Pelodiscus sinensis: one gene and its partners. The protein of the gene in region 2 interacts with the protein of the main gene of each other region in a pairwise test. Links are inferred from orthologs where the notes say so. Each region holds a gene or a part of one and is shown on either strand. Other genes may lie near its edges.

Region 1 (8,050 bases), on a different chromosome or scaffold from region 2:
GGATGTGCCTATACACAGATCATTTTTGCAAATATGGACGCAGATATAAATTTTGTATCTAGAACCCGATACATTTGCAGATATCCACTTCATATCCACCAGTTTTCACATCCGTGGATGCCAATGCAGATATCTGTGGTTAATTTTTGCTCATTCAGATGTAGATACAAAGTTTTGTATCTGTGCAGGGCTCTAGTAATCTAATCTAACAGCGTGACAGTCTCAGATTCTTAAATGCATAAGATTTAAAATCATCCAAATGTAGACATTTCCCCACAATATAAAGTAACCGATGATGGAGGGAAAGTGAAATAGGGTCAATAGCTGAACTAGGATTCCAGGTATTTTAGAGAGTCCAAATTTAGGCCTCATTTTGTAATCACAATCTATGAATTACTATGAAACCCACCAAAAACAAAAGTAAGCAAGAAACTAACAGAGGCAGGTAAGTTAAATAATTAAAAGCGATACTGTGCATTGCTCAGCAAAGTACGTTTCAGTTACCCCAAGAGTATTTAGAAGCAAGAAAGACAATCTAGGAAAACTGAAGGTTAGTGGAGAACTAAAGACCTGGGTTAAAGTCAGGTTATGTTGTTCTCTAAAGAGAATGGAGAGCCAAATAAGAGGAGAATTGTCTTTTTTAAGCCCAAGGAAGAATGCCAGAGACTGAAAGCCAGGAAACCCTGACACCAGCACTTAATAACTTGGTGATTTTGGACAAGTCATTTAATCTGTGCCAATTTATCAATGGGAACAAGACTGACCAGCACAGTATTGTGAAGAGTAATTAGGTAACGTTTGCCAAGTGTTGAAGATGCAAGGTGTGAGAGGGTTGCTTATTACTACAGTACCACACAACATGTTATGCAATACATGTGCACAACACTGCAACTGTTCCATATATGGAAGGGAAAGGCTGCAGGGAGTTAGGATTCTCTCATTAGAGGACTCAAAGATGAGTCACTTTCAGTAAGAACAAAGGCCCCAAGGACTGATACTGGCAAAGAGAATGAGAAATTGAACACGAAACAATTAAAGTTCTGCTGAACAACTGAATAGGAGAAATCCAGTACACATTTATGGGAGCCATGTTTTTCCTGGCTGGCCTTCTCCCCAAGACATTAACAATCTAGCTTTTTTCTTATCCAATAACGTTTATATAGTAGAAAGAAAATTCAATCAACTGACTGACAGACTGTCTGCAGTACTCAAATAGACAATCTGATGTTTCTGGAGCTGTGTCTAGAAAACTAAGGGTTCTGGAAAATCCAAATATGCTTGATCAGATCCAGCATATTTTAATTTTTGCTTCATCATTAATCCAAAGAACCAATAATCTATGTCAGCCACAACAAGAATGGCATTCTGATCAATAAGAGATCAGAATGCTGCCTGAGAACAATTTAGGACTTTGAACAAAAACAAAACAGAGGCTACTTGTAAAGTGACTAACAACTATAAACCAGTCCAGAAGCACGGCTTTGTGTAAGCTTAAAAACATGTCTCCTCTCTCTCTCTCTCCAACTGAAGCTGGTCCAGTAAGAGATATTATCTCACCCCCCTTTTCTTTCCAACAACTAGAACACAATTACTACCAGCAATGGCAGATGCCTAGATTACTCAAATCTTATTATTAAAATCTCCAATGTTATTATCACCCTGACTGCAGGCTCAATAAACTCCACATAAAACACACAATTCCATTAGCACAATCTGGATATTGTTATGTGACATCTACATTATATCAAAACCATTTGCTGTCTGCATGAATTTTCCCACACACACAATAAACATTATACGAGCTGTATCTGTGGGCAGGACATCAAGAAGTGCTATATACTTTGTGTATTTATCAATGTGAAAGACTTATAAAGATGTAGCCAGCACTAATCCTTGTACAGTTAGCACCTACTTTTCTTTCTAGGTCCTTACTTGGCCCCATCACCAGAGACCTAGAGTGCCTAAAATTTCTTCAAAAAAATATAACACACAGTACAGCACACTAGTGAGGGTGGTTAACGGTTTCTGATTTAGCCTGAAGAATATTCTGATCTACAAACTCTGTTGACAGTGACAGCATTTAACACTTGAAGCACTAGCTTGTACCACAGAAAGGGGAAAAAATCATGACTTATAAGAACCCTGTATGTCAATACAAGATTATAGGACACAAATATTTTAACGATAATGTAGTTTGATACGAGTTCAATCTGATTTGTAGTATTTTTACAAGCCAAAATAAATTAGTAGAAAAGGAGGGGAAAATATCTGGAACTGCAACAGAGAGACTGAAACAAAGCCCTGTTTGTTCTGCATGAAGGTCATAACCTTCCTATTTTCAAGCAGCTCAGGAGCTGTCTACCGCAGCTTTGGACAACCAAGGAAAGCTACAGGAAAGGCTTTCTGGTTATTGGAGACTCTCTGCTTTTTCCTTACAAAGGGCTATCCCCTCCCTCCTGTCCACCCTACCCCCTAAACATCAGGGCACGGATCTTCATCTCAGACACAGATCACACAGCTCTCCCGCAGGGAACACCACAGAACTCTATGCTCAACTCCATAGCCACTTCCATTGCAAGCAGGTGGACATCCCTGGGGAATGGGAGCCGGAACCCTCCAGGAATTGCACGGGTCCCTACGCCAGCCACAGGAAACCCCCCCAAAACAGTTTCAGGATTCAAGGGGCTACCACCTACAGCCACAGGAAACTAGACCCAACCTCCAACCTCCTCCCCAACACACACAGGAGGGGGCCCCACGAGGAACACAGGAACCTGCAGACCCACCCTAAGCAGAAGACGGAGGGGGTCCCCCCTGGAGTCAGAAGGGGATGAGACTAGCTCCAGGAGCCCCCCAGGAATGGAGCGGGTCCCTCCAGACCAAGGGGAGGGACACAACGAGCTCGAGGAACACCTAGGATGGAGGGGGCCCCCCCAAGGCAATAAGGGGGCACAACCACCCACGGGAGTGCCTAGGGAGTGAGGGGGGATCCCCAGCGAGCCACCTGCACCTCAGCGTATGGGGAGCCCAGCCCTGATCTCCCCCATGTGGGGGGATGAGGCGCCCGGCCCTTTGGCAGGGAAACCCCCCCCCCCCAAGGGGCTCCAGCCCCACAGGCGCGGGGGAGGCGGCTCACCGGACTCTGGGTGTCCGGCCGCATCTCCACCAGCGCGCACACGCCTCGCGCCCTGCTCATGTCTCCGCCACAGCCCCGAGTCAACAGCGACTGAGCGACGCGCGAGCCCGTCCGCGCCTCATATATGGCCACGCCCCCTCTCCGCCCTCAGGCCACGCCCCGACTGGCGGGCTCCGGCCTTCGGTTGAGCCGGTTTCGCGCTCCCTCCCTCCTCCCCCCCCTGCACGCGCCGCCTCCTAGTGAGCCTAGGGCGCGCGCTGAAGGGGCTGCGGCTGGGGCGGCGCGCGGTGTCCCAGAGGAGTAGGGTTGCTGGAAGCAGGCTGGTCGGGGTCTTGCACGTAAACGATTGCACCGCGATTGGGATCCTGGTGTGGAAATTAATGCAAAGTAGGGCGGGATGTTAATTAATGCAAAATAGGGCGGGATCTCGTATGTTAATACAAAGAGGTAGGGGTCTTGGATGGGAATAAATGCACAGCAGGTCTTCCAGGTAGACTAGTGTACAGCGAGGTGTGATTTTGCATATGCAAAGAAGCGCCCCATGGGGCAGCGGTCTTGCATATAAATAAATGCAGCCGGGTAGGGTCTTGCATGTAAATTACTGTGTAGAGAGGTGGGTTATTCTGTGCAAACCAATGGATGGGGCGGGATCATGTATCCACACTCAGTATATGGACAGGCCAGCTTTATGCTTGTAGCTGTGCCGATAATGTCTGGCTCTAGTTGTTAATTATGTATTCCTTAATAGCACAAGTCAATTAAGGTATGGTATTTTAGTTCCTCCTCCCCGCTGCAAAATTGCACTGGAGATAATATCTGTAAATTAATGCATGTCATTTAGTTGGTAAATACTGACTGAGCTCTTTTAAATTTTTATCTAATTATTTGCATTGGAGGATATTACTTGGAAAAATTCATGGCTATTATTTATATTTTCTAAGATATTTCTCCTGGGGGTAACTAATTCACATTTACACATAATATATTTTTAATATTTACATTTGATTCTACTGGTTTTAATTGGAATGCAAAAAATGAAAAATTTCAGATGTTTTCAATTTGTGTCAAACAATTGTATGAAAAAGCAATGCAGAATTTTTAATTGTGGTTTCCAGTTATTTGTACTGGGAGGTATATTACATACAAGTTAATAGATTTTTACTCTTTTAAATTGAATATATTGCATATAATGCATATCTTAATTTTATTGCTATTTTCAAAATTTAGGGTGCAGATATTGTTTCTAAATTAATTCTGCAGTCATTTGTACCCAGAACATTACATGCATGATGCATGCAATCCATGAACCTGAACAATCTTGCATTTCTTTGACATGACTTATAATTGTTTTCCAGTCACTTGCTTTGGAGGGGTATTAAAGTAGCTTTACCTGCTGCAGCCCAAAACAAGAAGAAAGGAAGGGAAATTGTGTCCTGCAGAAGTATGTCAAAGAGCAGTTTAATGGCAAAACTGGTTAAAGAAGATATAGAAGTCAGCTGTCTTTACTTCTGAATGGCATGTTACACTGGAGTTGCTGCCTAATTAGCTCATACTCAAAGATCATTCTGGAGTTTCGCTTACGTATCTTCAGAGAAATCTAATCATTTGATCTGCCATATATTAACATCATGCTTCTCTAGCACCTTTTCAACCAAGGATATTTATTAATTAACACTCACAGCCACTCCCTTGAGGAAGGTGCAAGTGTCATTGACATTTAATACAAGTGAAACTGAGGCACACAGGTTGTATTCTCTGTCAACCAGCAAGACAGTGGCAGGGTCAAGAACAGAACTGATAACTCCTCTGTTTTTAATTTTCTGTCCAGCATTAGCAGGATCATTTTCTATCCTCCTCCAGCAAAAGAACCTATGTGTCCTGCCTCCTATTCTCATCCAGCATGAAGAGAACCCAGGAGTCCTAACACCTGCTCCTTTGCTCTAGCCACTAGACCAGACTTGCCCTGAAAGCCTTGCACCCACACCAATGCTCTAACCACTCAGTCCCATTTTCCCTCCTGTTTTCTCCACCATTGCTCCCAAGGCCTGCAGTTCTCCTTCAAGCCAGGTTCGATGACCTTTCAAGGTCCCTTCCACTTCTAGGAGATAGGCAATCTCCATTATAATAATTGTGAAGAAGAAGGAGTTAATTGTTGCACTGAATCTGTCCCATTTGCCCTGGTTGGTTGTGGTCCTTTTCTCTGCAGGTGTTGGGTGAGTAACCATCCAACTCTCTCTCCTCTGTTTGTGGTTCAGCAAGGGAGGACTTGGAAAGAGATCTAGCGAGCTGCTTGAGGGATTGTTTGGGGCGCGGCAATGAAGTTTCCAGGAGCTGCTGTGAGAAGCAGACTGTCTCTTTCTGAGAGCTGAGCGGAAGAAAGAAGCTATTCGGGGTTTTATGTTCGTGCCAGCTCACTGCTGCGTGTGAGAACAGAACTGGGGAAGAGAGAGAGAGCCTCACAAAGCCACATGAGGAGTGGGGCAAGAGCTCCCCTGCCCTATTTTGCTTTTTTTAACAGAGCCTGTAGCCCCAATGTGCAGCAGGGAGACACTAACCCCTCCTATAAAAGCATGACTGGGGTGGAAAAAGTGAATAAGGAAAAGTTATTTACTTATTCCCACAATGTAAGAACTAGGGGTCACCAAATGAAATTAACAGGGAGCAGGTTTAAAACAAACAAAAGGAAGTATTTCTTCACTCAGCACACAATTAACCTGTGGAACTCCTTGCCAGAGTATGTGGTGAAGGCTAGAACTTTAACAGGGTTCAAAAAAGAGCTAAATAGATTCATGGAGGTTAGGTCCATCAATGGCTATTAGCCAGGATGGGTAGGGATGGTATCCCTAGCCTCTTTTTGTCTGGAAATTGGTGACAGGAGAGGGATCATGTGAGGATTATCTGTTGTGTTCCCTCCCTCTGGGGTATCTGGCATTGCTACTGTCAGGAGACAGGATGCTGGGCTGGCTGGACCATTGGTCTGACCCAGTATGGCTGTTATGTTCTCCATGCTACATCTTTCTGAGTATGGGCACACACATTCTTCCATTCATCCATATAGATCCATGTTGTCCAACATGCTAGCCACATGTGGCTATCTGGCCAGTTGAGTGTGGCTAGTTCACTATAGCAGTTGCCACTATAGTGCCTTCAGAACTGGTTGGACACCATAGATCTAGATAGTCACGGGGCCGGGGGGGGGAGCTTTTGTACTTAAGCATGTCAAAGTCTTCCATGTATTGATCCTCAGAAATCCCTTAGAGGGTAATGCTATTGTCCCCTTTGTGTGGATGGAGACCTGAGGGCACAGAAAGAGTTTTGGGGACATTTTCATGAACTCTGAAGTCCCTTAGAGTCCATCCATGATGCAGTACATACACCCCTCCACTCCATGGCAGTGAGTCTCCGAACCCAGAACAGCTGATTCAGTCTTGTGGGGCTAAAAACAGCAGCATAGACATTTGGGCTCAAGCTGCACCCTCCTTCCTTGCCAGGTTTCGGAGTCTGGCCCCCAGCTTGAGTGAGCACAGATCTAGGGCTGTCAATGCAGCCAGGCCAGGATCCCGTCTGCCCCTGCTTGGACTGCGCCAGGGCTGGGGCAGCCATGCAGAATTCTGCTCATACCGGGGCTTGGTAGGGCAGGAGCTACCGCTTGCCCCTGTCCCAGGCTGCAGGACTGGGGCTGCCAGGTCTACCATGGGGACCGCTGCAGACCCACCTGCTGCCCTGTCCTGGTTCCTGCTACCGGGCCCAGTTAACCAGTTACCTACCATGTAAGCCCGGGGTCAGCAACCTTTTCAAACCAAAGAGCCAAACTACATCAACATTCAGAACAAGTGGTCAACAAAGAGCCAGTACAAGAATGCCCATGTGCATGACTGAAGATATACAACTTAATATTATTGATTAATAATAGCATACATGAAACATTGTCCTCACAGACTTTATTTAATGGGACTTCCACTACTGCATCTTTTTACAGGTGCCGCAGCGGGGAGAGGGGCTGCCGCCAGCCCTTCCTGTAGCCAGATGTGCCTGCCTTAGAATTGGGGCTGGGGACAGGACCCTGCAGCCAAATGGAGGCTGGGCCGCAGCCCAGGCTGGACCAAGCTGTTGCAGCAGTCAGTGGCGGCAGGTTTGTATAATTTTTGGTGGTGCCCAGAATGGGTCTAGTCCTCCCCCACCTGCCCTGTAAGCCGATTTACATTATTTAATAAAATATATAAATGGACTGGAAACCGTAAGTGTTTAACAGTTTCCCTTTATTGAACAATATCACTATCATAAGAAAAAATTATTTAACTAAAAATATCAACGTTATTGATACTCTTTTGAATATGGAAACAACCAAGCGCTCTTTGACCAATAACCTTCAAAAGCAAATACTTTCTAAAATTAAAACAACTATAGCCCCTTCGTTTGCAATGTTCTTCAGGCCCCCACCCTTCTGGGAGCTGTAGGAGGTGTTTTTTCCATATATAACAGATTTTGGAACAATATTTTGTATAAAATTTATTTCTCAGTCGTTGGAGAAAATTGGTTTTACTACGTTTTTATTTATTGCAATAAATGACAAAGATTGAGTAGGGTCTGAGTGCAGACATTCTCATCTATCCTTTTTTTATAAAAAACCAACGAAACGTTCCCTGAGTATAAGTTAGCTAATTTGGCACCTTTTTTCTTACATAAGAGCTTTGCTATGGCTTGTAGATTGCTATCAAAGTGCATGTTGGAATAAGATTGAAATATTTCAATTAAAAACTCTTTGTTCATTTTTTCACTTCTCGTAAATATTTTGACCTCCCATGTTTCTGCTGTTGGGTGAATTGTATTATCTACAGCATCTGAAGTCATCACCTGGAGCATGTGAAACCAATATGTAGGGCCTTTTAAAGCTCAGTTAAAATTGATATTTGC
Region 2 (7,942 bases):
CCACAAACAAGTTCTCCAAGTTGTAAAGTACCTGTGAGATCAAGATAATTTGCCTTAGTTGTTATTTTGGTAGATCCCTACAAATTCACAGATATCTGCATTCATGGATAGGGGTAGCTGCAGATCATTTTTGCAGATATGGATGCTGGTACACATTTTGTATCTAGAGCCCTGCAAATTAACTACTTTATATTTGCTGATCATTTCTGCATATCCCTGCAGGGCTGTGCGTGTTGAAATAATCCTCACCCACCCTCCCCTACCATAGCCCCAGAGAACTCTCTCATATCCAACTGAAGGGCAGGTTAGGGAAGAAGGGTCATCAGCATAGACCACAAGATGCTTCCCCCCTTCCCCAGGTCAGTCCATAAGGATGCTGAAGAGCAGGTTACCAAATTTTAAGCCAAAAAATGGCCTTATTATTGTGACCTGCATAACAGACCATCCTCCCTCACACAGTGATCCTGCTTCTGTTGGAGCTAAAGCATGTCATTTTGAAAGATATCCAGTCTTCATTTAAAAACTAAGTGATAGCAAACGCACTATGCCCTTGGTAAACTGTTCAAATAGTTAATCACTAGCCATTGAATCTTCTTATGCCTGTACCTGCTTGTTTCAAGAAACTGCCATTAGAATCTTTTCCTGTGTAGGTACTTGAAGATCACAGCCTAGTCTCCACATGATCACACTTTATAATGGAGCTGGTCTTTAGAGAGATGGAGTATGGGACATCAGCTGCTTCATGCAGATACGTTAGGGTCATTGCCAGCAGCTGTTCCCATCTCCCTGACCCCAGAGCAGCCTCCTTCCCCCTCCTTCCAATACACATACATTTATCTAGGCCAAAGCTTCTTTCTCCTCACAGCAGCTTTCCACCTGCAGCTGCCCCTGCCTGTCCCAAGTTCTGCTTAAAAAGCAGCAGGAAGGCATCTCTTCTGTTTGTCCACCAGTCACCCTATTAGAAGGAAGGGAGTATGGAGCTGCCATGGATCGAAGCCTTCCTAGCATGCCTTTAGACTGATCCACCTCCTCTATGGTCTCCCCACAGTTCTACTATGGTGTACAATTACTGAGGGAATGCCACTTAGGCAGGCCTGAGCCCGATTTAGTTATCAAGCCTCCCACAAAGGAAGAGATGTTCTGACATCTACAATAATCAGAAGATTCCACACAGCTGTAGAGCAGGGCTATTGAACATGTAGCCTGCACTGTGGTTTGGGTTTACATGGGGCTCAACACACAGCCGGTGGTTGGAATCCTTTTAACATGCCTTCCACTGGGAACACGCGCCATAGTGGCGAGATGTCTCCCAGGAGGGGTAAGCATAGAAAGATGCAAACGGATGGGCTGGCTGGAACAGACAGGTACAGGGTGTCAGTGTTTCTAGCCCCCAGGGAGGAGGTGCAGGGAGCACTGGGGCATTTTGGGAAAGAAGCTATTTGCATATATATTTGCATGTATATGCAACCATGCTTAAGTTGCATTCCTCAGCATGTGCTGTGAGTACCATTGGGGCCCCCAGGGCATCCAAAGTTGAGTAGCCCTGGGCTAGAGGAAGGTTGCACCAAAGCCAGAAATTGAGATTTAGAGCCTTTCATTGGCTATAGCTGCACTGGTTACATGAAAGCAATCTCTTAAGGCCATCACAGATTGCTCTATTTTCGATGTAAGTCCTGACCTAAGCCATACTTACTGGGTGACATACCTGGCTGGGTTGATTTAGTTGGAATTGGTCCTGCCTTGCTTGGGTAGGGGGGTGGACTTTATGACCTCCTGAAGTCTCTTCCAGCTCTATGATTCTATGAAAGGGAACCAACCAATTCTCAGTCTCAGGTGTGTGACCCCAGGACCTGAACTTCACTGGCCAATCTTCACTGTACCCCACCCAGGAGCAGAGAATGGAAAGCAAAGGCAGGGACCTACCCCAATGTTCTCCAAAATGATTCCTTCCCTAGGGAGGATCCCAGCTCAGAGCAAGCAGGCAGTATTTGGGTGGGAGGGGGCTTTTGTTTCATAATCCAGTAACTCTGGCATGAAGTCACCCACCTCCTCCAAATGAAAAATGAAGGGGATGTGCTATTAAAATATGAAGTGAAAGAAGCTGATTTACTTCAGTTTTTTTTTGGGGGGGGGGTGTTCTTTTTTCCCCCAGTTAAACAGAGTCACATGTGTTTCCACCCCATCAAACTCTGGTTAATCCTGCAAAGTTTGCTTGGATAGCAAAAAAACAAACACACCACGCACAAACAAACAAAAAAACCCACCCTGCGTCCCTGCAACAGCAAAGTCCTTTCTTTTTCAAGCAACTGGTGTTTCTCCACTCAATCTCCACCCCACCCCCACCCATTCCTTTGCCTAATGACTCCTACTTCCCCTTCCCCACCAGAAAGTTCATTTCCAGGCATGTAAATTGTAGTCAGGGATTGGACCGGGGAAAGGGGAACTTTCAAAGCCAGGCCTGGAGTGAATCTGTAGCAGTCACATAACTGCACACCCGCGTCTCCCCGTTCCTCGCTACACAGCACGGCAAGAAAGAAACATGCAGACATATTGCAAGCGCCAGACAGTCACAAATTTGCAGGCACTCACCTCCCGTCTCCTCAGATCTCCTCCCCGGCAGGGCAGAGGAGACATGAAGGAGTCTCGAAAAGTTTCGGATTCTTTCCCCACCCAAACATCTGGAAAAAGGCTCTAGGGGTCTCACTCACACTGCAGCGTCTCGACTCGGCAGCGCGCCCTCCCCGCCCCCGCGGGCTGCTAGTTTTACAAAGGGAAGGAGGCGATTTCTTAGGTATTTCATTTCCACGGGGCGGCTGGGGGCACTTACCCGCCAGCCCAGGGTTGGCAACTTAGTCAGGCTTTCAAAAGTATGAGGCTCCCCCGGAAAAGGAGACAGAGACGCCAAGTCCATAAAGTTAACGCTAACTAGAGCGGCCCAAGCTGTGCCACCAGCACCGACCGCGCACACAAGAGCAGGTTCAGCCTCGCAGCCCCAGGACGTGGGGCAGGAAATTAGAGGGAGGGGAGCTTTCCTGCTGCCAAAAAACCGCAGTTAGTTTTTGAGCATAAAGTTGCAATAAAACTAGGAGGCAACGAGCTTCAGCCGGGACTTTTGCCCAAAGGAAGCGGGAGGAGAGGGGACTCACCTCTGGGGAGGAGCAGGCTGGGTCTCTTGGACTAAAAGTTTGTAGCTGCCTGTAAAGTCTCTAGTGCTGCTAGCACGCAAGCCCAGCCCCACTCTGCCCTCCCAGCGCCTGGGCGTGCCGCGCTCTGCCCCCTGCACAGCGATCAGAACCAGCTTCGGTTGCTTGTCTGCCAAATCGGGAGGGGGAAGGACTTGGAGGAGGGGGGACTACAGAGCCCAGGACTTCCTAGCATCTCGCAAAAAGGCCTCGCCCAAGCAAAGCTGTGTGACCATAAAAGGAGAGAGGCTGCGCGAACAGCTGAGCTCACTCACCAGGGAATGTGGCAATGAGGTAAGAGGAGGAGGAGGATGAATACACTAGACAGGACTGTTGAGAGACGAGTGGGGGAGAACAGCAACGCTCTCCCTCTTACAACCAGCTCTCGTTGCCCTTCCCCCTGTGTTGTGAGGGGAGGGAGGTGTCAGCTTTCCCTCCTATCGCTGCTATGGGAGGCCTGTATTTCATACCCTCCCTGCTTTCCTTCCACTCCTGGATTCCCTATTTCCCCCGAGATTTGCCGGCCTTGCGGCTCAGTCTTGATTCCCAGCCCCTTCCACTCCACTCCTGTCTTCCCTTCAGCTTAGGCAAAGCCCCTCAGTTAGGCGCCCCCGCACGCTTGTGTTTTATCTCTTGCCCCAGCGCTGGGTTGCCTCCGCCTTCCCCAACTTTTTCAGCAACTGGTGTTTCCAGGCTTAACCTCCACCCCATTCCTTAACCTGGTGACCCCCCACCAGTGACTTCATTTCCAGTCTCAACCACTGCACGTAAGCAGAGGCCCGGCAGCTCTTGTGAGTCAGGAGGCAGGGTCCCTCTGGCCCCTTCCCTAGCCCCTCCCCAAGCAACCAGCTGCAAGAGCATCTGACTCTGACTTTTCCAATCCTACAGACGCTGTTAAAAAACAAACCAGCAATACTGCAAGGAATGTAGTTCCTCATGTATTCAGAACCAGACAGGAGGTGGGGGCACCTGAACAACCCACTTAGCTCCCTGGGCACAGCCTCCTCCAGACCCAAGTGTCCTGGCACAGCTCTGTTGATGCCCCTTATCCTTAGATAGCCATGTCACTGGCTATTCTAGTCTTGTGCTTTGCACATTGTACTGCTGACCTGCAAGATCCACATTGTTCCCAAACCATTCCAGCATTATCTATTAGGTTTTGTTTTCAGTCTGAACATGGATGGTGTGAGTGCTCAATGGTGCACCTCACCCAGAGGGTCTGGTCCCTGCACGAAGGAGTTTACTATTGAAATTCTCCATCTTTGGTTTTCTTTTATTCTCTTTCCCTGGGTCCTTTTTTGCAGGGCAGCCTCCCTAAGCTTATTTGTTCCAAGTCTGGAGCCAAGGGGGAATTCCTGTTCTTTGCATAAACACCATGCTCTCTCCTTGAAATCTGGCAGTAATACTGGGCTTTCTGCCCCCTATTGTTGCTAAATTTCCAAGGGATTAATCTTTGTCATTTAATCTTTGCAATGCTCAGAGAATTTAGGATTTTTTTACATTGAGGTATTTATCTAGCAGCAACATTGGTGTAACTACCACAGAGCATGCCTCTAGTATCACATGGGGCTTGCACTGGTGAAGCTGGTCTGACCTGAGAGACACTAGTTCAAATCCCAGTTTATGCTGATACAGTGTGTCTGAAGTTGAACTAGAGATCTGTACTGATGCAGCTATGTTGATGTAGCTACATCTGAATCTGGAAACCCTAGAAGAAACAAACCCTTAATTGTATACTAGGACCCCTCCTGCTTTCTACGCTCACCAACCTCCTCCGCCTTCCCAGAACACCTGTGAGGGGGGAGGCCGTGCAGCTCTCTCTTGTTCACTGGTGCTCCCCTGGTCCCTGGGGGGAGGGAGGGAAGAGGCTGTGGGGCTCTTGCCCCCCTGAACACCAGGTAGGGGGGCGAGGCCATGCAGCTCCTGCCCATCCTAGGAACACCAGGAAGAGAGGAGGCTACAGGGCTTCTGCCCTGCCCCGCCCCACCCCCCTACCCTCCCCCCAGGACTGAGGAAGCCACATGGCTCCGGCCCTGCCCCCCGGAGCACTGGGGAGGCCACATGGCTCCTGCTCCACTCCCCCCCCCCCCTTGGAGCACTGAGGAGGCTGCATGGTTGCTTGCCCCAGTACTGGGGAGGCCGTGTGATTCCTGCCTGTCCCCCAGAACACCAGGGAGTCAGGGAGGTAGGAAGGACTCCGGGCGGCAGGATGCAGAGTGATGTGCTGATGTTGCTCTGTTATCCTTCAGGAAACGTGTTTTTTATATAGAGAGATCTCTTGTGAAACGTTATGGAGCCTTGAGCAAATCGCTACACTTCTGTATGCCTCAATTTTCCTGTCTGTGAAATGGGACTAACCATATTGACTTATTTCATATGCAAGTGATTGAATTTTGTTGTTATGATGCAATAAATGCAGACATGTCAGGAATCCCAGTTACAATCTGGTTGTCCCCAGACACAGTTTGGCTACGTCTACACTGGCCCCTTTTCTGAAAGGGGCATGCTAATTTTCAACTTCAGAATAGGGAAATCCGCGGGGGATTTAAATATCCCCCGCGGGATTTAAATAAAGATGTCTGCCGCTTTTTTCCGGCTTGGGGAAAAGCCGGAAAAAAGCATCTAGACTGGCCCGATCCTCCGGAATAAAGCCCTATTCAAAGTAGGAATAAGAGATCCTCCGGAATAGGGCTTTATTCCGGAGGATCGGGCCAGTCTAGACGCTTTTTTCCGGCTTTTCCCCAAGCCGGAAAAAAGCAGCGGACATCTTTATTTAAATCCCGCGGGGGATATTTAAATCCCCCGCGGATTTCCCTATTCTGAAATTGAAAATTAGCATGCCCCTTTCGGAAAAGGGGCCAGTGTAGACGTAGCCTTCATGTACCACATGATTTTGTAGGATGTATGAACTGGAGTCGTGCTGTGCTGGAACATCACATGGCTTTTGCATTATTTGGATCATACCTATGATACCAAAAGTTTCAACTTAGATCTCCTAACACTCTTATATCTAGTATGGATGGACAATCTGTGCTTCATGTTGGGGTATTGTGGTCAGGCCACATCCTTACACACACTATTCCCTCTTAAACACAGTGCCCCAAAAGGAAAAGCACACCAATTTAGAGAATCTGTCCACTTCACCAACCATCTGCAGGCTTATGTCACTGGGCCTGGGAAAGCACCACACACTGGCATCAGTCTGGACTCTGAGAAAACAGTCCACCCTGCTGAGACAGTCTTGGGCTGTGGTAGTTTCTAACAAAAGCCATTACAAAAGGGTCTCATGAAACACATAATTGTTTCAGAGATTTCCTGTCAGCTACTTGGGTTGGCACTAGACAGACCTAGCTATGGCAACAGAGTTCCAGCCCCAGCTGCTCTGACTGCAAAAGCATAGACCTTAGTGTGGTCTAGTAGTCGGTACAATAGGGCACTGGCCAAAGGCTCGGGAAATATGAATTCTATTACTGGCTTTGCTGGTAACCGATTTTAAGCATAATACTTTCCTTTTGTCTTCCACCCTTTATCTCTTATGCTTAGACTCAGCTCTTCGGGGCCAGGAGGACTGCCTTGGACTATGTACCATACTTAGCACAATGGGGCCATAATCTCTTGGTTCTCAACCCCGTACTGGGATATAAGTAATCTGTATACAGGCAGTCCCCGGGTTACGTACAAGATAGGGACTGTAGGTTTGTTCTTAAGTTGAATTTGTATGTAAGTCGGAACTGGCTCCAGGTTCAGCCGCTGCTGAAACTGATCAGCGGCTGACTACAGGAAGCCCTAGGCAGAGTTGCTCTGCCCCCTGCTTCCTGGAATTAGCCGCTGATCAGTTTCAACAGCGGCTGAATCTGGACTCCTGGGACAGAACAGCTGGGGCACTGCCGGGTAGGTCCCCGCAGGACCAACCCGGCAGCACCCCAGCTGCTCTACCCCAGGCATCCCGCAACAAAAGCCTGGTCTGCTGGGGGGGGGGTGCACTAGCTGCGCCCCCTCGCCTCCAGCAGACCAGGGAGACCCGAGCAAAGCCGCGGAGGCGCAGAGGTCACGCCACCTCTGCGGCTTTGCTCCTGTCTCCCTGCTGTGCTGGGGGACTCTTCCCCCCGCCCCAGCACAGCAGGGAGACAGGAGCAAAGCCACAGAGGCGGGGGACCCCGCCGCCTCTGCGGCTTTGCTCGGGTCTCCCTGCTATGCTGGGGAGTCCCCCCCAGTACACCAGGGAGACCCGGAGCAGCTTTTCTCGCCCTGGTGGCGGGACGGCTGCGCTCTGGGTGGTCCCGCCGCCCGCGAGCTCCGGGGCGAGAAAAGCCCCGTTCGTAAGTGCGGATCCGACATAAGTCGGATCCGCGTAAGTCGGGGACTGCCTGTAATACGATTCCAGGAATGTTGAGCCTAAAATGTTTATTGAGTCCCTGTGAAGTTATAGAAGCAACTACAGGCATAGTTGAGATTTCCCTTTGTTCAGAATATAGACAACGCCAATCATTACTGGGTTTTGGAGTCTCTTATCTTATTTTTAAATTAGCCATTTTGCCTTTATGAATTACATCTGTGCAGTGTACATTGCAGTAAGATATGTTTCTATGCCATGTTGAATGTCCTATGCCATTTTTGTTTGCGATGTTTTTGTAGCCATGTTGGTCCTGGATATTAGAGAAACAAAGTGGGTGAGGTAATAACTTTTATCGGATCAACTTCCATTAGTAAGAAAGACAAGCTTTGGAGCTTACACAGAACTCTTTTTCAGGTCTGAGAAA
Region 3 (7,870 bases), on a different chromosome or scaffold from region 2:
AAAGCAAAGGGGCTAGAAAGGAAAGTCACGCAAAAGTCCAACATAAGTGAAAATTAAAGGCATCTTTAAAACTATTATTTAATTAAAAGAAATTAAATTGGATGTATCTGAGAGGGAAGCAACATAGGGATCATCACAAAGTGTGAACATCGGCTGACTGCAATGGAAGAATTGTTGGAACAGTGGCATGTGAGAACAGATACCTCCCTGAACAAGACCAGAGGCTTACATGCCATAAAGGGCTTTAACAATAATAGTGCCAATTTCAAGTCAGATACTAAAGCATGAAAGATGAGAATACCACCATCATTATATCTCAAGCTATGAGCAATCATGCCATTCCATTTTGACAGAATATGTGTTGACAGCCTCGCAAGGAAGGAAAGAAAATAACCCAGGCTTGTAGTCATAAGGTCATGTGCTCCAGCTATCACAATGTCATTTTAGGGTAAAACTGCAAGCCACACAAAGTCATTAAAACCTATTTCTGTTGGACTTTCCCGTATTACCTTCATTGCAAGTCCCTTTCCCTTCCACATTTTCCACTTGGCAATGAGCAAATTGGGTCTGAAAGCCTCTGTGTGCGTGTGTGTTCACATGGGTGTATGTGTATAGAGAGAGAGAGGTTTTCAGGTAAATTTTGTTCATTACCAAGTAAATACACTAATCCATCTCCATATTTGCGTGAATAATAGCTCCTCCCTAAATAGTTGTGTAAAATGTTTATAAAAAAGAGCTATAAACATGGTTGGATCCAAAAGCAAACTGGAATATTCACTGTGCTCTGTTCCCAAACTTGGTGCAGCTGCTGGCAGAAGCAAGTGAAGACAATTCCCCTAGAAACTGCCAGCAGCTTCATAGCTGTGTGCGTCTTCTTGTAACTAAAAAGAGTTAAGAGATTCTGGCACCATTCCTAGAATGAAGAAGTTATAGAGGGGGAATTTCCTCCCTGAGAACTGTAGGGCTTTTCTAGTGATAGTGAAAATTCAGTTAGGGTGAAGGTTTGGAAGGATTAAAAAAATTTACTTTGAACCTGCTCTAATACCCACTATACCCAATAAAAACAAATCCAATGATTTTAGTGAGTAATGGATCAGGCTCAAAATGTGGGTTCCATTTTAGTATATTAAAAAGAATTCCCTTTCATATTATATTGGCTCTGGACCATTACAACTTCTTATAATAATATCATGCAGGATTAGGAATCATTATCCTTTGAAAGCTTCACATATCTCAGTGAAAATCTAACACACACTTTCACCAAAAGCTGCCTCTCTGAACCATTACTGAGTTTGAAGCTCATTTTAACTTATTTATTCATTTTAGCCTCCAAACCTACACAAAAAAAATGAAAGAAAGTTATATTCATAATATTTATCTACTGAACAATAGCAGCAGCCACCACAACCACCGATACACTTTTCAATAATAATTCCTAATTTAAAGAAAGAGTTTATCAGCACTGTTCAGGGTATTTTTTGACTTTGTGACAGCAATCAATTACGTCTAGAAATGAGTAGTATTGAAAGAATAAATGGCTTTCAGGTCAACTTAATGCTTCATTTTCACTGTGGCTTTTATCTGACTTGACAGGCTTGTATTGTATTAAACTCAGTACCTTTCCAATAAAAACACATGGATAACCATTAGTACCTTTGATAAAAATATTAATATAACTTGTATAACTTCTTAAGATAATTTGATGTTACTGAGTTATCATCTTACTGGCCTCTCTTAAGGCTGTATCTAATACCCAGCCCACACCAAAATTAACGTATTCCCACACAACATTCAGGCAGAAAAAAAGTTTTGACCCTTTCAAGCTTCATTCTCTACCCAGCATGATAACTCCATTCCAGATTAATCATTTTTCTAGTGGCCATCTATTCTTCCTGAATAAACATCCTCCAGTAATGAATTTTCTGCATCCTCTGTAGTCTAGTTTCTGCATGTATTAATCTCACAAAGTCAACATACTTATTCACCTTGGATAATAGTGTCACAAAATGTTTATACATCATGTTATAATACAAGGTGAACCAGCCCCCAATTTGTAGTCCTGCTACTCAAGAGCCAAAACATCCCAGCCTAGAGCTGGTTAGAAAGATCATTAAAGGCAAATCACCATCTCTCATATAATGGTTTATCTTGCTGTTAGTAACTATATATACTTAATCCACGAAGGAAAGCAATCCCATCACAAACAGAACCTCAATTACTGCACATTTGCAAAGTTCCTCCTGGGACTCAAGTTTCCACAATAAATACAAACCCAAACCTCCACTTTCATAATTCACTCAGAGGACCAGGTCCTCAGCTGACAAATAAAACGGATGTAAAATAGAACTCCTCAAAATTATGACCACTAAGGATCTGATCCAATGTATGTGTGCCAAATAAAGACATACATTAGATTCCTTTAATAACTCATTTGGCATTTGTTAACTGAGTGCCTTTAGGAGATACTATCACTCTTTAATGGAGTTTCCTCATACATATATTCTTTGATAGCACCTTTATATTATTATTGTATGTTTTACTCTATCATGCAGGCGCTCAGAATTTAGGATGGGCACCTCCAGCTACATTTTACAAATACGAAGAAATAAGAATAATACAAAAAAACTTTTAAAGAAAGGAATTTAATTAAAGGATACAAATGGTTACAATCACTTACATCACTTATAATTTCAGTGCATCTTCTGGCCAGTTCCATGTTTCTGTCCTCAATAACAGGCTTAAGGAACACCTATCAAAAAAAAAAAAAAGAAAGCATTTCAATATCACTAACCTAAAACAGTGAAAAAAGAAGCTCCTTTTCAGTTATCACTGCCACCACCTTTTCTTCTTCTTCCTCCTCTTCACTTTCATCCTCCTTGAAATCCTGAATGAGAGGCATTCTTTTTTAATATTTAAAAAATATAGTTAAAAATGTAAAAGGCCACTGCTACAGCAAACTGTTTATGTTCTACTACTTTTCTATGATGTAGGCTCCTCTTGTGTCCTTCACTAAGTTTAACCTTACCAAGGCTTCTTCCTTATTTAGACAACACTTGAAAGTCTTTATCAGAAAAATTCCATATGAGTGACCTAGAAGACATTACAGATGGCCTTGCTAACCGAGCTAGTGCTTTCTTACAGATAAAGTATAAGTAAACAATGCCTAAATGTCTAAGACACATTTAATTAAAGCACTGTAATTCAGTAACTATGCAAGGTAAATAATTTAATGAAATTAGCTGGCTCAAAAGGGTGACATGAATCCTAATATTATGGGGAAACCATTCAGTTCTAGCTTTTAAGATATCTCAGACCCCAAATCAGCTGTCATAAAACTTCTTCACTCAGTCTAAATAAAGTTTGTACAGAAAAGGAACATATACCCTTACTTTTCTAATACAGAGAGTTTGGATAATTCACAAATGCTTTATTAAATGTAATTTTAGAATGTAATATATGTTATTTTTCATGCTCCTAACTGAAAAGGTTCCTTTCTGTAAGGATGAAATCTAAAATGTTCCTTTCAATACTCTTAAAATGCTTCCGGCCTCATATCAGCTAAAGTAATATTCATACATACACACATATCAACACTCTACAGAAGATAATATACCATGATCATACATATACAGGCAGTCCCCGAGTTACGCGGATCCGACTTACGTCTCCCCCAGCAGACCAGGGAGACGCGGAGCAAAGCCGCGGAGCTCGCGGGCGGGACCGCGGCGCGTCTCGGCGGTCCCGCCACCCGCATCTCCCTGGTCTGCTGGGGGGGGGGGGGGAGGGGAAACTAGCTGCCCCTCCCCCGGTCTTCCTGGAATCAGCCGCTGATCAGTTTCAGCAGCGGCTAACTTGGGGACACCTGGGGTAGAGCAGCTGGGGTGCTGCTGGGTTGATCCCCGCAGTGCTGAGGTGCGGCGCTGTGGGGACCTACCCGGCAGCGCCCCAGCTGCTCTGAGCATAGATCTATTGGAATGGAAGCTGCCTTACTACTAGAAGAAGTTATTTCACCTGCTGCTCTGTACGAATGTATTGTAAGGTTCAAAGTAAAAAAGCTAGCTGGATCGACAATCATTCTAAATGTGATTTTATTTTCCTAATGCTACCACATCACATCACAACTTCATACTGCATCCCACAAAGAGATTCCACTGCAGTGAAGTCCACATCCAGGCTTCATCTCACAGGTCTATGGTAGTAGATTTCTATGTGTTCTTGGAGCCGATATCCACATAGAAAACATAAGGAATGTGTAGTGTTTGAATGTAAACTTCCCAAAATACCAAAATGTAATTGTGGCTAACATATGCCTCCCATTTGTTGTTTGGAACAAGAGCACTTCATTAGAAAAAGACATGAAAACAAACAGAACATTTGTGCCTGAGCAAAAAGTATAAGGAGGTTTAGAGTTTTTTAATATTTGAGAAAAACAGACAACTCTCAACCTACTGTAACCCACAGACAGAAGGCACTTATGCATTAATGATAGACAAAGATTTCAAATGACTTATCTTGCTGTTTTAATAAATAAGCTCCTACATTTTGAGAGTGACAGTCATTGTGGGCACCCAAATTGACACCCATAAGGCCTGATTTCCTGAGTTGTTGTGCCGCCACACTTCCCATTGACTTCTTTAGGAGCTGTAGGTACATACCGCATCTCTAAAAATTGGGCCCCAAAATCTCCAACAACAACAATTGGACAATTTTTGCTACAATGGTGAGGTCAAGCACTCACAACAACTGGTCACTTCTGCAAATGTCAGGCATAATAAATGTCTTTCTGGGCAACTATAGTAATTGCTACATGATGTGGCAATTCGCTTCTCTGGCATACAGAGCACTTGTTATAGACAACACAAATGCAGTACAGCGATGAGTTGTGGACTTCTGGTGTTGATACCAAGGTGAAATGTTGAAAAACGCAAATATCTCTGCATTATAAATAAAAGGCTCTGCACTTAAAATTTCCTTGTTCCTCCCCCAAATTCAATATATTTGGAAAGGAAAGATGTCAGAATAATTAAGGGAGAATGGAGGAGACTTTAATAAGCATAAAAGTAATTGCTACATTTTGCAAAACTTCAGCATGGGCTAAGCTGCTATTTTTCCACTGAAAGTCAACTGGTCAAAAATTACAAATTCTGAACTGCTTGGATTTTTAGATTACTTAAAAGATTAACACTACAAATAATGGATATTCAGAGTACTGATGCAACAGTAATTACATCTTAATTGTAATTTTCCTGCAATGTTTTCTCCATAGCAAGATCAGCTTTTTCCTTACCATAATCTAAGTTTTTATTTCTGAAAGAGCAGGATCAGCTATATTTTTTATAGGCCTCCTCCTCCCTCCAGCCCACAGTTTATTCAAATATGCTGGACCTTTCAGCAGACTTCCATTAGCTACACATCTAGAGAATTGAGGGTTTCATAACTAATCATATTGAGGAAAGAAATGCCAAAATTACAATTTCTAAGGGAGTGGAAGGGAAATCATGCCACAACACACCACCACAGCTATAATACAATATAGAACGATTCGGTGTGGCAGTCTCCAGGGGACAGAAGGCACTAAGCAGACACTATCAGATGCCGGCCGTCCACCAAAAACACAGGGCTCTGCTGGATAATATGTCATCCAACAAAGTGACAGAGAAGCAACTCTTTTGGCAATAAGCTCACTGAAATACAGTCCCGAAAGAGATTTGTTAAGAAAAACTAAGACTACATAGTTTAAAATGCAGGGGGTAGGAGTGTTAGTTTCCCTGGTGCCTGTCTATACACATGTACCCACCCGTGCCTCACCTTCTTCCTCCACCCCCTCTGCAAGGCCCACAACCATGACTTCCTCCATGACTTGCTCTCCCAAACCTTCACTTATTTTCATTTGACTGGGGATAAAGGGTTTGCAGTGTGGGAGGGGGCTCTGGGCTGAGCCTGGAGAAGGGTTTTGGATGGAGGATGGGGTACTGGCTCTGGAAGGGAATTTTGGTGAAGCAGGGGCTCGGGGCTAGGGGACAGGATTGGGGTGCAGAAGTGGTACGGACTCTGGAAGAGAGTTTAGATGTGGAAGGAAGTTCAGGGCTCAAGCGCGGGTTGGGTGCAGGAGAGGGTGAGGGTGCAGGCTCTGGCCAGGCGTTTACCTAATGGGGCTGATCAACAGTGCAGTGGGGCCAAGGAAAGCTTCCAGCTTGCCCTGTCCCCACATCACTCTCCAAAGCAGCCTTTCTGCAACCCCTAGGTAAGGGAGCTTGGTGGCTCTGCACGCTGCCCCTGCTTGAAGGCATTGCCCCCACAACTCCCGTTGGCTGTTGCTCCCAGAGCCATCACTTGGGGTAGGGGCAGTGCAGAGGCCCCCTGATCCCACCCCAAGGCAGCAGAGAGGGACACGCCAGCCACTTCTGAGAAGGTGGGACAGCTATCATTTATGTTGCTCTTATTTTTACTCTAGTAAAAAACAAACTAGAGGTACTACCATAAAATATAGCCTGAATTTACCCTAACACTGTTTACATCACTAAAATGATCATAAATGTTTTCCCACAGTTTAACCACAAAAACATGCACTTACCTTGTGCTCTAGTAAGAAAACACTTTCCAGTATAAATACTGCAATCCACAGCCAGCCTTTCCAGCATAAAATCATCATAGATTTAGTACAACCCAATTGCACAAGGATTTAAAAAGCAAGCAAAAAAAAAAAAAACCCTGACGCTTACTCTTACAGATGTATTATGTAGTGTGTACCACAATGTACTAAAGGAGAAGAAAAACAGATAAATTGAGTAATCAAGAACTTCAATTATTAGCATCAGTGTGGTATGACGCTACTTTGCCCTCTGTCAATTCTGATCTGCTGAAACATTTCATAGTGGGTTTGGGGTTTTTTACTAGTTATTTTGCAAAATGTCATCTGGAGTACAGGGTGTCCCCGCTATAAGTCGCTCGGGTATACATCCATTCTGCACTAAAGTCGTTGATGCCTGTAGGAACTAATGCATTTCCCACTTTAAGTTGTTTTGCTATAAGTTCACGTTTTTTGGAACATATAGGCAAACAACACAGGAATGCAGGAGCAAGATTAGAAAGGCAAAGGCACAAAATGAGCTCAAACTAGCTACGGGAATAAAGGGAAACAAGAAGACTTTTTATAAATACATTAGAAGCAAGAGGAAGACCAAGGACAGGTTAGGCCCACCGGTCAGTGAGGAGGGAGAAACAGTAACAGGAAACTTGGAAATGGCAGCGATGCTTAATGATTTCTTTGTTTTGGTCTTCACCAAGAAGTCTGAAGGAATGCCTAACATAGTGAATGCAAGTGGGAAGGGGGGAGGTTTAGAACATAAAAGAAAAAAAGAACAAGTTAAAAATCACTTAGAAATGTTAGATGCCTGCAAGTCACCAGGGCCTGATGAAATACATCCTAGAATACTCAAGGAGCTGATAGAGGAGGTATCTGAGCCTCTAAGCTATCATCTTTGGAAAATCATGGGAGACAGGAGACATTCCAGAAGACTGGAAAAGGGCAAATATAGTGCCCATATATAAAAAGGGAAATAAGAACAACCCAGGAAACTACAGACCAGTTAGTTTAACTTCTGTGCCAGGAAAGATAATGGAGCAAGTAATTAAGGAAATCACCTGTAAACTCTTGGAAGGTAGCAAGATGATAGGGAACAGCCAGCATGGATTTGTAAAGAATAAATCCTGTCAAACCAATCTGATAGCTTTCTTTGATAGGATAACGAGTCTTGTGGATAAGGGAGAAGCGGTGGATGTGGTATACCTAGACTTTAGTAAGGCGTTTGATACGGTCTCGCATGATATTCTTATCAATAAACTAGGCAAATACAACTTAGATGGGGCT
Region 4 (7,334 bases), on a different chromosome or scaffold from region 2:
ACATCTGTTACGTCTATAAGGTGCCACAGGACTCCTTGTCGCTTTTGCAGATCCAGACTAACATGGCTACCCCTCTGATACCCTTCTCCTGTGAAGTCAGGATAAGCCTTTAGTCCTTCTGTGCCCGAGTTTCCCCTCTATAACATGTATACATTTGTACCTCTCCCACCATGCTACTGTTTTGTAAGAATAAAGAAAGATGCCCAGACTCTATATTAACAGACATCTAAGTGCCTAGACAAGTAACAGACATACACATTATTTATTCTAAGGCCTTAGCCACACTAGAAAGGAGCTGCTGGTATATTTCTACTTCCTAGTCAAGAGACCAGTTGCTACCAGTTTCCCAAACAAAATAAGCTAAACAAGTGCTTATGCTGGTATATCTGCCTAGGGCTCCCCCCCCCCCCCCCCCCCGTAGTGTTAACTCACAGCTATACCAGTAGATCCGGCCTTTAAGGGATTTAGCTTTCTTTGCTCCTTGGGGCAAAGTATTTAGCACATAAGTAGCATAAACAATACATCTGCAAGATGTAATAGATACTATGCAACAGAACACTAACAATAAAGACAACAGAAAATGCATTTGTGATTGTTACGAAGACAGAACATACCTAGGAAAGGTGCCTGCAAATCCACAGGTAAATTAATAATGAACCATTTAAAATTCAATTAGATTTAATTGTTGGTTAAGTAGTGAAACCAGTTCAGCAGTGAAACCAGAACACATTCAATGTTACTACAGTAGGACAGGGGAAAAATATTACCAAGAAAGAGCTCAGTTCTTGCTTTCAAGAAATTAAATAGATTTTCTAAGAAGCAATCTGAATTTCAGTTTTATTACATATAAATTATGATGACTGGTGTAGATAATGCTGCAGATTACAACGTTAGCATAATTAGCCAAGATCAGTTCTGAAAACAGAATTATCCCCATTGATTTATTTTTGAAAGAAGGACTATTATGAGAAGCAAAAGGGAAGCTGGTTAAGAAGTCCTTTGACAAGACAAACTATAAAACCCTGTATCTCTTCTAACATCACATTTGAACAACAGATCTGGCCAGGAGAGCCATTTGTTCATCAGTCCCTTCTAGATGGCCCTTTGGTGGTGATGACATAACAGCATTCAGTCTATTTTGCTAATGGCCTTTGCAGCAGGAGGGTATATCATCACATCAGAGGCAGAGGCTTAGGGACAGTGACTTATGACATCTGCTTAATAGCTCATCGTAGTAATGACATCAGGGTCAGAAATCCCTTTAATGGGAGGGGACAGGCAGCAGGCACGATGGCATAATTGAGCCACAAGTCCCCTTGCAGAGAAGGTGGGTGGTACCAGGCTGGGCCTATCTTGGTGGTACCAGGCTTGGTCCATCTGGGCAAGGAGTTCCTTCACAGAGGAGGTGCATGGTACCAGACTTGGTGACACAACAGTGTACTGAGTCCCTTTGCAGAGAGAGAGAGAGGGGAGCAGGCTTAAGACAACCAGGCCAGGCATCTCTTGGCAAGGACAGGCAGAACACAGACGAGCTGGCCCCTGGGTAGCACTGCTCTCCGTGGCATGGAGAGGCACATCATCTGGGCCCCGAGTCTCTTCCCAGGATGGTGGGGTGCATTAGCCAGCAACCCCCAGGGGTCCCTGCCCCGCTAGCAGGCCAGGTCGAAGTCATCCCGCTCCTGGTTGTAGTTCAGCACGTGCTGGCGGATGCGGGAGGAGTCGGTCCAGGTGATGAAATCCTCCATGGCCCGGGTCACCAGGCAGGCGGGGTCGGTCACCACCTCGGGCCCCACCCGCACGTGGCCCTGCTCGATGAAGGTGACGGCGTCGCGCAGGCTCTGGGCCATGCGCAGGCGGAGCAGCAGGCTGGGCAGGCGGCGGCGGCAGAAGGAGCTGGCCGAGACCCGGTCGCACTGCTCCAGCGAGCGCTTGGAGCTCACCAGCCCCAGCCCGTGGAGCTTCGCCAGCAGCGCGGCGGTGCAGCGGGCCCGGAAAGCGGCGTCGGCCTCGCCCAGGTCGCGGAGGCGGCGCGCCAGCTCGCGCACGGCGCGGCTCAGCTGGTTGTAGCGGGTGTAGTCCTCGCGCCGCTGCAGGCGGTAGCGCCGCAGCACGCGCAGCTCGGCCAGGTTCCCCGAGGCCGCCTCCCAGCCCACCAGGTCCAGCCGCTTGAGCAGCTTCTGCTCGTGGAACTTCAGCTTCCGCACCATCCTGCCGCCGGGGAGGCTACGAGCGCGAGCGGCCCTTAGCAACCACGAGTGGGGGGGGGGGGAACCGGAACTTCCGGCTCTCCGAGCAAGGGGGGGCGGGGCTTGCTGCCCTTCTCTCTCATTGGCCAGAAAGAAGCGGAGCCTGCCGCCGGTCACGTTTTCAATAGGGGGAAAGAAGAGCGGCGGCTTGGGGAGTGACGCATGACGGGATAGAGAGGGACTGCCAGGCGGGTGGTGGTTTCGGTGCGCATGCGCCAAGCTGGCTGGCTGGTCGCGAGCCTCTGCACAGAGTGGTGCTGCGCCAGGGCGCTTGCATGGGCGTGGCCCCCGAGGCTCAGGATCGCCCCTGAACTGGGGAGCCTGTGCTGGTGCTCCAGCCCCCCCCTTGCTGCTCCACCATGGGGCTCCAGTACTCAAAATGTGCCAGGCTGGGTCCCCCTAGCTCTGGTGTGCAGGGGGAATGTGGGGAGTGTCTTTCTCCTTAGCTGGGGGCTATGCCAGTGAAGGGTTTTTGTCTGCAGCCCCTGACTGTTTTTTCTGTGCGTCAGTGGCTCCCCACTCAAAAAAGGATCCCCACTCCTGCTTTACAGCCACCAGCCCAGTGCTGATGTGGCCTCCCAAGTTGTGTATTAAAGTTGTGTATACACCCACTAAACAGTTGTGTATTAAAGTTGTGTATACACCCACTAAACAGTTGTGTATTAAAGTTGTGTATACACCCACTAAACAGTTGTGTATTAAAGTTGTGTATACACCCACTAAACAGTTGTGTATTAAAGGCAAATACAAGGCAGCCTTGCACCATGAAAGCAAAGTTAAAGCAACTCGGGGGAGGGGCGGTGAGACATAGCAAGCTACCAGACCCACTGTTTGGCTACTACAGTGTCCAGAAACATCTGACAGAATTGAAGAAAAAAGCATTTTTTAACCAACATGAGAGATTCCAAATACAAGTATCTTCTCTAGTGCTGGGTTTCAGTTTTCCGAATATGTGGCACAAATAACTTCTGGACTATTGTAATCAGCTATCCTGGGATACTTTTTGCTACCCTTTTGTGTTTAGGGGTATGCCTGTCTTAGGTGACTCAACCGGCCTCTTTACTGACTCAAGTATAACAAGTTTAAAGGCTCAAAAATGTCTGAGAGAACATACTTTGTGCTTCTGTCATGCTTTTCATACAAGGTTCTTATGCAACTTTACAAATCATGAAGTGTCTCACACACTGCTGTGAATTAGGGAAACAGTAGTATTCCCATTTTTCAGATGAGGACTGAGGGCTCTTCTTACCATAGTGGCACAGATGCACTGCTGTAGCATTTCAGTGTGGACCCTACCTATATCATCAGGAGGGTTTCACCCATTGGGCAGATAATCCACCTCTCCAAGAATTCTTCTGTTGACCTAGTGCTTGTCTACATGCGGACTTAGGTCAGCTTAACTATTCCTAGGCCTGCTGACAAAAGCAATTCTGGGCCCCAGGACCAAACAATCAATGTCCCCCCCCTCCTTTTCCTTCAGCTGGAGAGAGAGTGTGTGTGGGGAGGGTGCAATATATATATATAGGGATGAATTCTGCCTTACCTATCAATAGGGGGCCCTGGCAACTAATGTAAAATATGCCAAGGAAATGCTCTAAATTATGCTGGAGACTGGACTGGGTCCCACTATATCCCAGAATACAGGAGGCGCAACGCAGAATGGACTGCAATGACCATCAGTGCAACTATGATCTGATGGCTTTTTGGTGGGTGTGCTATGTGAAAAGAGTTGATGCTCTCAGTTCTGGTTGTAGTGAAGCAAGAATTCGCATCACTAAAACCAGCTTCCTAGTTGATTCTCTTGGCAGTCTTAGCAAGGTTTGAATGGTCAAGGAGACTGACTGGAGGCTTTGAATCATTTGCTAATCCAGATGTCACCCTTAAAAACAAAACTAAATATCTGTTGCTTTTGAATACTTGTTGTTTATATAGTGTTACATTATTTGCTTTGGCAAAGGTCATGAAGCTGAAACACTGAGAAGTTGCATGAATAGAAGATGCAGTCTTCAAAATTTCATTTACTTTTCCATTTCCGTTACTGGTTGCTCTGGACTAGCATAGGGAAATTGGGACAAATTCAATTAGCAGGTAAGAAATGTATCCTTCAGTGGCGCAGTTATTATTTATTTGTAGGAGGCTAATAAAAAAAAGGGGGGGGGGGGAGAATGTGATTTTGCACCTGTTACCTGAAAGCTTTTAGTAAATGTGCAGGCTGTCAGTTTATTATGTATCCCATTAATTAACTCCCACACATGAAGTGTCCTAAAGAAGCAGTTGCAGAATTGAGACCTCTTCGTGCAGGCCTGGTCTATGTACAGCCCACAGGCTGGATCTGGTCCACTAAGCCACCTGATCTGGCCCATGGACACAGTGTGGAGCTCCAGGCAGGCTCCCTAGCTTGCGCCACAGCCCAAAAGTGGTGGTAGGTCCGTTTCTCTTTAAAAACTGAATGGGGGAAGGCTTCAGACACTGCTCTCGCCCCCAGCACAATCCCATTGGCTGGCTTCTGGCCATACACTGGCCAGTGGGAGCTGCCTGTTTGAATAATGGGCAGCACACAAAGCACCATGCCTCCCCCCTCTCCTTCAGCTCAGTTATTCACACAAGCATGTGTAGGTGCAGGTGCAGGGCAGGCAGGCTGGTTGATCTACTGGCTGATAAGTCTCCTGGCCAGAACCTGCCTCTCACACCCCAGACCCTCTCTTCCCCAACCCTCTGCCCCCCCACTCAACATATCCAAACCCTCTGACCCTCTCCTGCATCCATATCCCCTCCCAGATCTGGCATCCCAATCCCCTTTCCCAGATCACAATCCCCTCCTACCCTAGGTCACTACCCAAACTCCTGCACCCCAGTCCCCTCCCCTAGATCACAAACCAAACCCCTGCACCCCAGTCCTCTGCCCTAGGTCACAACTGCCTCCTTCACCCAAACTCCCTCCTGCACCCCAATACCTTACCCCAAGCTCCCTTCTGCACCCAACCTCCATCCCAGACCCTCTACCTCCTCCATTAATATCATGGAAGTGTGCGGCCCTCGACCACTTTCCAAAATCTTGGAGTGGTCCCCTGTCAAAAATTATTGCCCACCCCTGCGGTAAAGGAAGGGATAGCATTTTTTCTAGTCGATCCCAGTGTGCGTTATAAACATTACCAACTCTATCAACCGGTGCACTCTGCGCCAACTAATTGTTATGCACCTTAGAAGGATTAATCTGGAGGTAGAATAAGTTAGGTCACCACCAGGCTTTTTCCTTTGGGCTTTGCTGAAGGCTGGCCTGCAGAGTGTCTGAGATCACAGGAGACATATTCAGAAGCCCTGTTAATACTGATCCACAGTCCTGCTGCCATGTCACATATCAAGCAGGTTTGCAGGAATTTCAGCAGGAACTTCTCCTCCTGGCCAACAGGGACAGCTATAGTGGAGGAATTTCAGACCTCCAAACGGCCTCTCCCCTTGCTCTTGCAGCTCGCCTGTGACAGGATGCAAACCAACATGGAGCACTTGGAAGGAGGAGGTGTTCTTGTTGGCAAGGGAGCCGGGAGGAGTAGGGAGGAGCAAAGAGGAAGGGGTCAAGGGGAAGCTAGCTGGGAAAAGGAGGTCAGTCTTGAGACACAGGATGGGTGTTGGGTTGAAAGACTGCGAGCACCTTGGGGGTTAGAATAAAGTAGGAGCTGAAAGGACAGGCTAGGGTGGAGAACACTAATGTAGACAAGCAAAACATGGGGAGGTAGCAAATGCTAGAAGAGGGGAGGATGAGTCAAACTCCTCAATGCAGGCTACTTCAGGAACTGCTAATCCTGCCTCATCAAAGGTCTACTATCACCACTCATCTCCACAGCAATCCCAGGCTTCTGCCAGCTTCCTAGTCCTTGTGTCACTCTAATAATCGCTGCCCCTGGCTCTCTTACTCCTCCCTTCATCATTCTCCTCCCTCCCAGCTATCTGTGGCTCCTCCACACAACACTCTCCCAGGTGAAATTCTGTGGCTTGAGATACACAGGAGATCATAATGCTCCTTTCTGGCTTTAAAATCTATGAATCCTCTGCCTGCTTCTCATCACTCTTGACTGTCAGCTCAGCCCTGAATCTCAAAGTCCTGAATCTGTAATGCTGTGATGTCCTCTTCAGCAGGTATGCAAAGGAGGTGGTAGTCACCTGTTCTGTGTTTTACCCCCAGGTTTGTGTGTTAATGCACAGAAGGATATGGAGAGCAAGAACTCTGCAAAGATGTATAGAATTCCTCGGGGGAAGGGGCCTTACTCTGTTGGCTGCACGGATCTGATGACTGGTCACACAACTCAGGTATGAAAGCCAAAAGGTCCTCTCACTCCTTTATTTTTACATAAGCCATGAGTCCAACATGGCAGCCTTCATCATATTATGAGATACTTATTAAATGGAAGCTTCCCCTGGTTCTGATAAGTGAAAATTCACAGGTGCAGAGGAGCAGGACAAAGCCTGCTTCAGCTCTGAGGCATTTTATTTTTTGTGTACAAAATATTTCATTTTCATTAATTCTGTAAGAGTAATGACATAAGATGACTACTGTGGCACAAGTATCACTGGAAGTGTAAGGCTGTAATGACAGAAATATACTGTAAATTGATGGATTTTGTCAGATACTAGGATGCAGGTTTTGTAAACTGGATTTGACAGATAAATATGTCCAGATACTGTATATACACCATCCATCTCTAAGTGCAATTTAAGAGCCTGATCCAGCTTTCCCAGCTAAGGCAATCTTCCTTAGTCCAGTTCCTCAAAGTTATTTAGGCTTGTAACTTCCACTGAATTCATATAGCTCACCATAGTGAATTCTTTGAAATGAGGCAGGAAAACTCCTCCTTACCGTTCCATTTGGCACAGTGAAAATGGGGAATGTGTTAGGTCATGGCTAATTAACTTTAGAAGCCTTGGGGGCCACAATGATACTCACAGCACATGCTGACGGCTGTAGCTTAAGTGTAGTTGCATATACATGCAAAAATATATATGCAAATATATGCAAATAGCTTCTTTTACACATATGGGCACGAATACAAAGATTAAGGCAAGACTACACATCAGGCCCCATTTAAGTCAGTT

The links.
Region 1: the proteins of ZYX (region 2) and TUFT1 interact in binary tests that used the Homo sapiens proteins (3 or more experiments, as listed by UniProt). The link is inferred for Pelodiscus sinensis from reciprocal best matches to the Homo sapiens genes ZYX and TUFT1.
Region 3: the proteins of ZYX (region 2) and NEBL interact in a two-hybrid assay, tested with the Homo sapiens proteins (2 studies listed by BioGRID and IntAct). The link is inferred for Pelodiscus sinensis from reciprocal best matches to the Homo sapiens genes ZYX and NEBL.
Region 4: the proteins of ZYX (region 2) and IMP3 interact in binary tests that used the Homo sapiens proteins (3 or more experiments, as listed by UniProt). The link is inferred for Pelodiscus sinensis from reciprocal best matches to the Homo sapiens genes ZYX and IMP3.

What each region holds. Positions count from the first base shown.
Region 1 is NC_134734.1:14,990,503-14,998,552, forward strand, and holds the start of TUFT1 (tuftelin), read right to left. Parts: upstream 3,294-8,050; 5' UTR 3,197-3,293; coding exon 3,137-3,196; intron 1-3,136. UniProt on the Homo sapiens protein: Involved in the structural organization of the epidermis. Involved in the mineralization and structural organization of enamel.
Region 2 is NC_134711.1:137,760,464-137,768,405, reverse strand, and holds the start of ZYX (zyxin), read right to left. Parts: upstream 3,582-7,942; 5' UTR 3,458-3,581; intron 3,283-3,457; exon of another isoform or gene 3,147-3,282; intron 2,995-3,146; exon of another isoform or gene 2,828-2,994; intron 2,743-2,827; exon of another isoform or gene 2,590-2,742; intron 1,800-2,589; exon of another isoform or gene 1,706-1,799; intron 1-1,705. UniProt on the Homo sapiens protein: Adhesion plaque protein. Binds alpha-actinin and the CRP protein. Important for targeting TES and ENA/VASP family members to focal adhesions and for the formation of actin-rich structures.
Region 3 is NC_134712.1:221,699,466-221,707,335, forward strand, and holds the start of NEBL (nebulette), read right to left. Parts: upstream 3,123-7,870; 5' UTR 2,900-3,122; coding exon 2,840-2,899; intron 2,750-2,839; coding exon 2,678-2,749; intron 1-2,677. UniProt on the Homo sapiens protein: Binds to actin and plays an important role in the assembly of the Z-disk. May functionally link sarcomeric actin to the desmin intermediate filaments in the heart muscle sarcomeres.
Region 4 is NC_134713.1:12,402,552-12,409,885, reverse strand, and holds IMP3 (U3 small nucleolar ribonucleoprotein IMP3), read right to left. Parts: upstream 2,273-7,334; 5' UTR 2,208-2,272; coding exon 1,650-2,207; 3' UTR 821-1,649; downstream 1-820. Other genes in the region: PLA2G7 (platelet-activating factor acetylhydrolase), read left to right, coding at 4,244-4,334, 6,427-6,551. UniProt on the Homo sapiens protein: Component of the 60-80S U3 small nucleolar ribonucleoprotein (U3 snoRNP). Required for the early cleavages during pre-18S ribosomal RNA processing. Part of the small subunit (SSU) processome, first precursor of the small eukaryotic ribosomal subunit.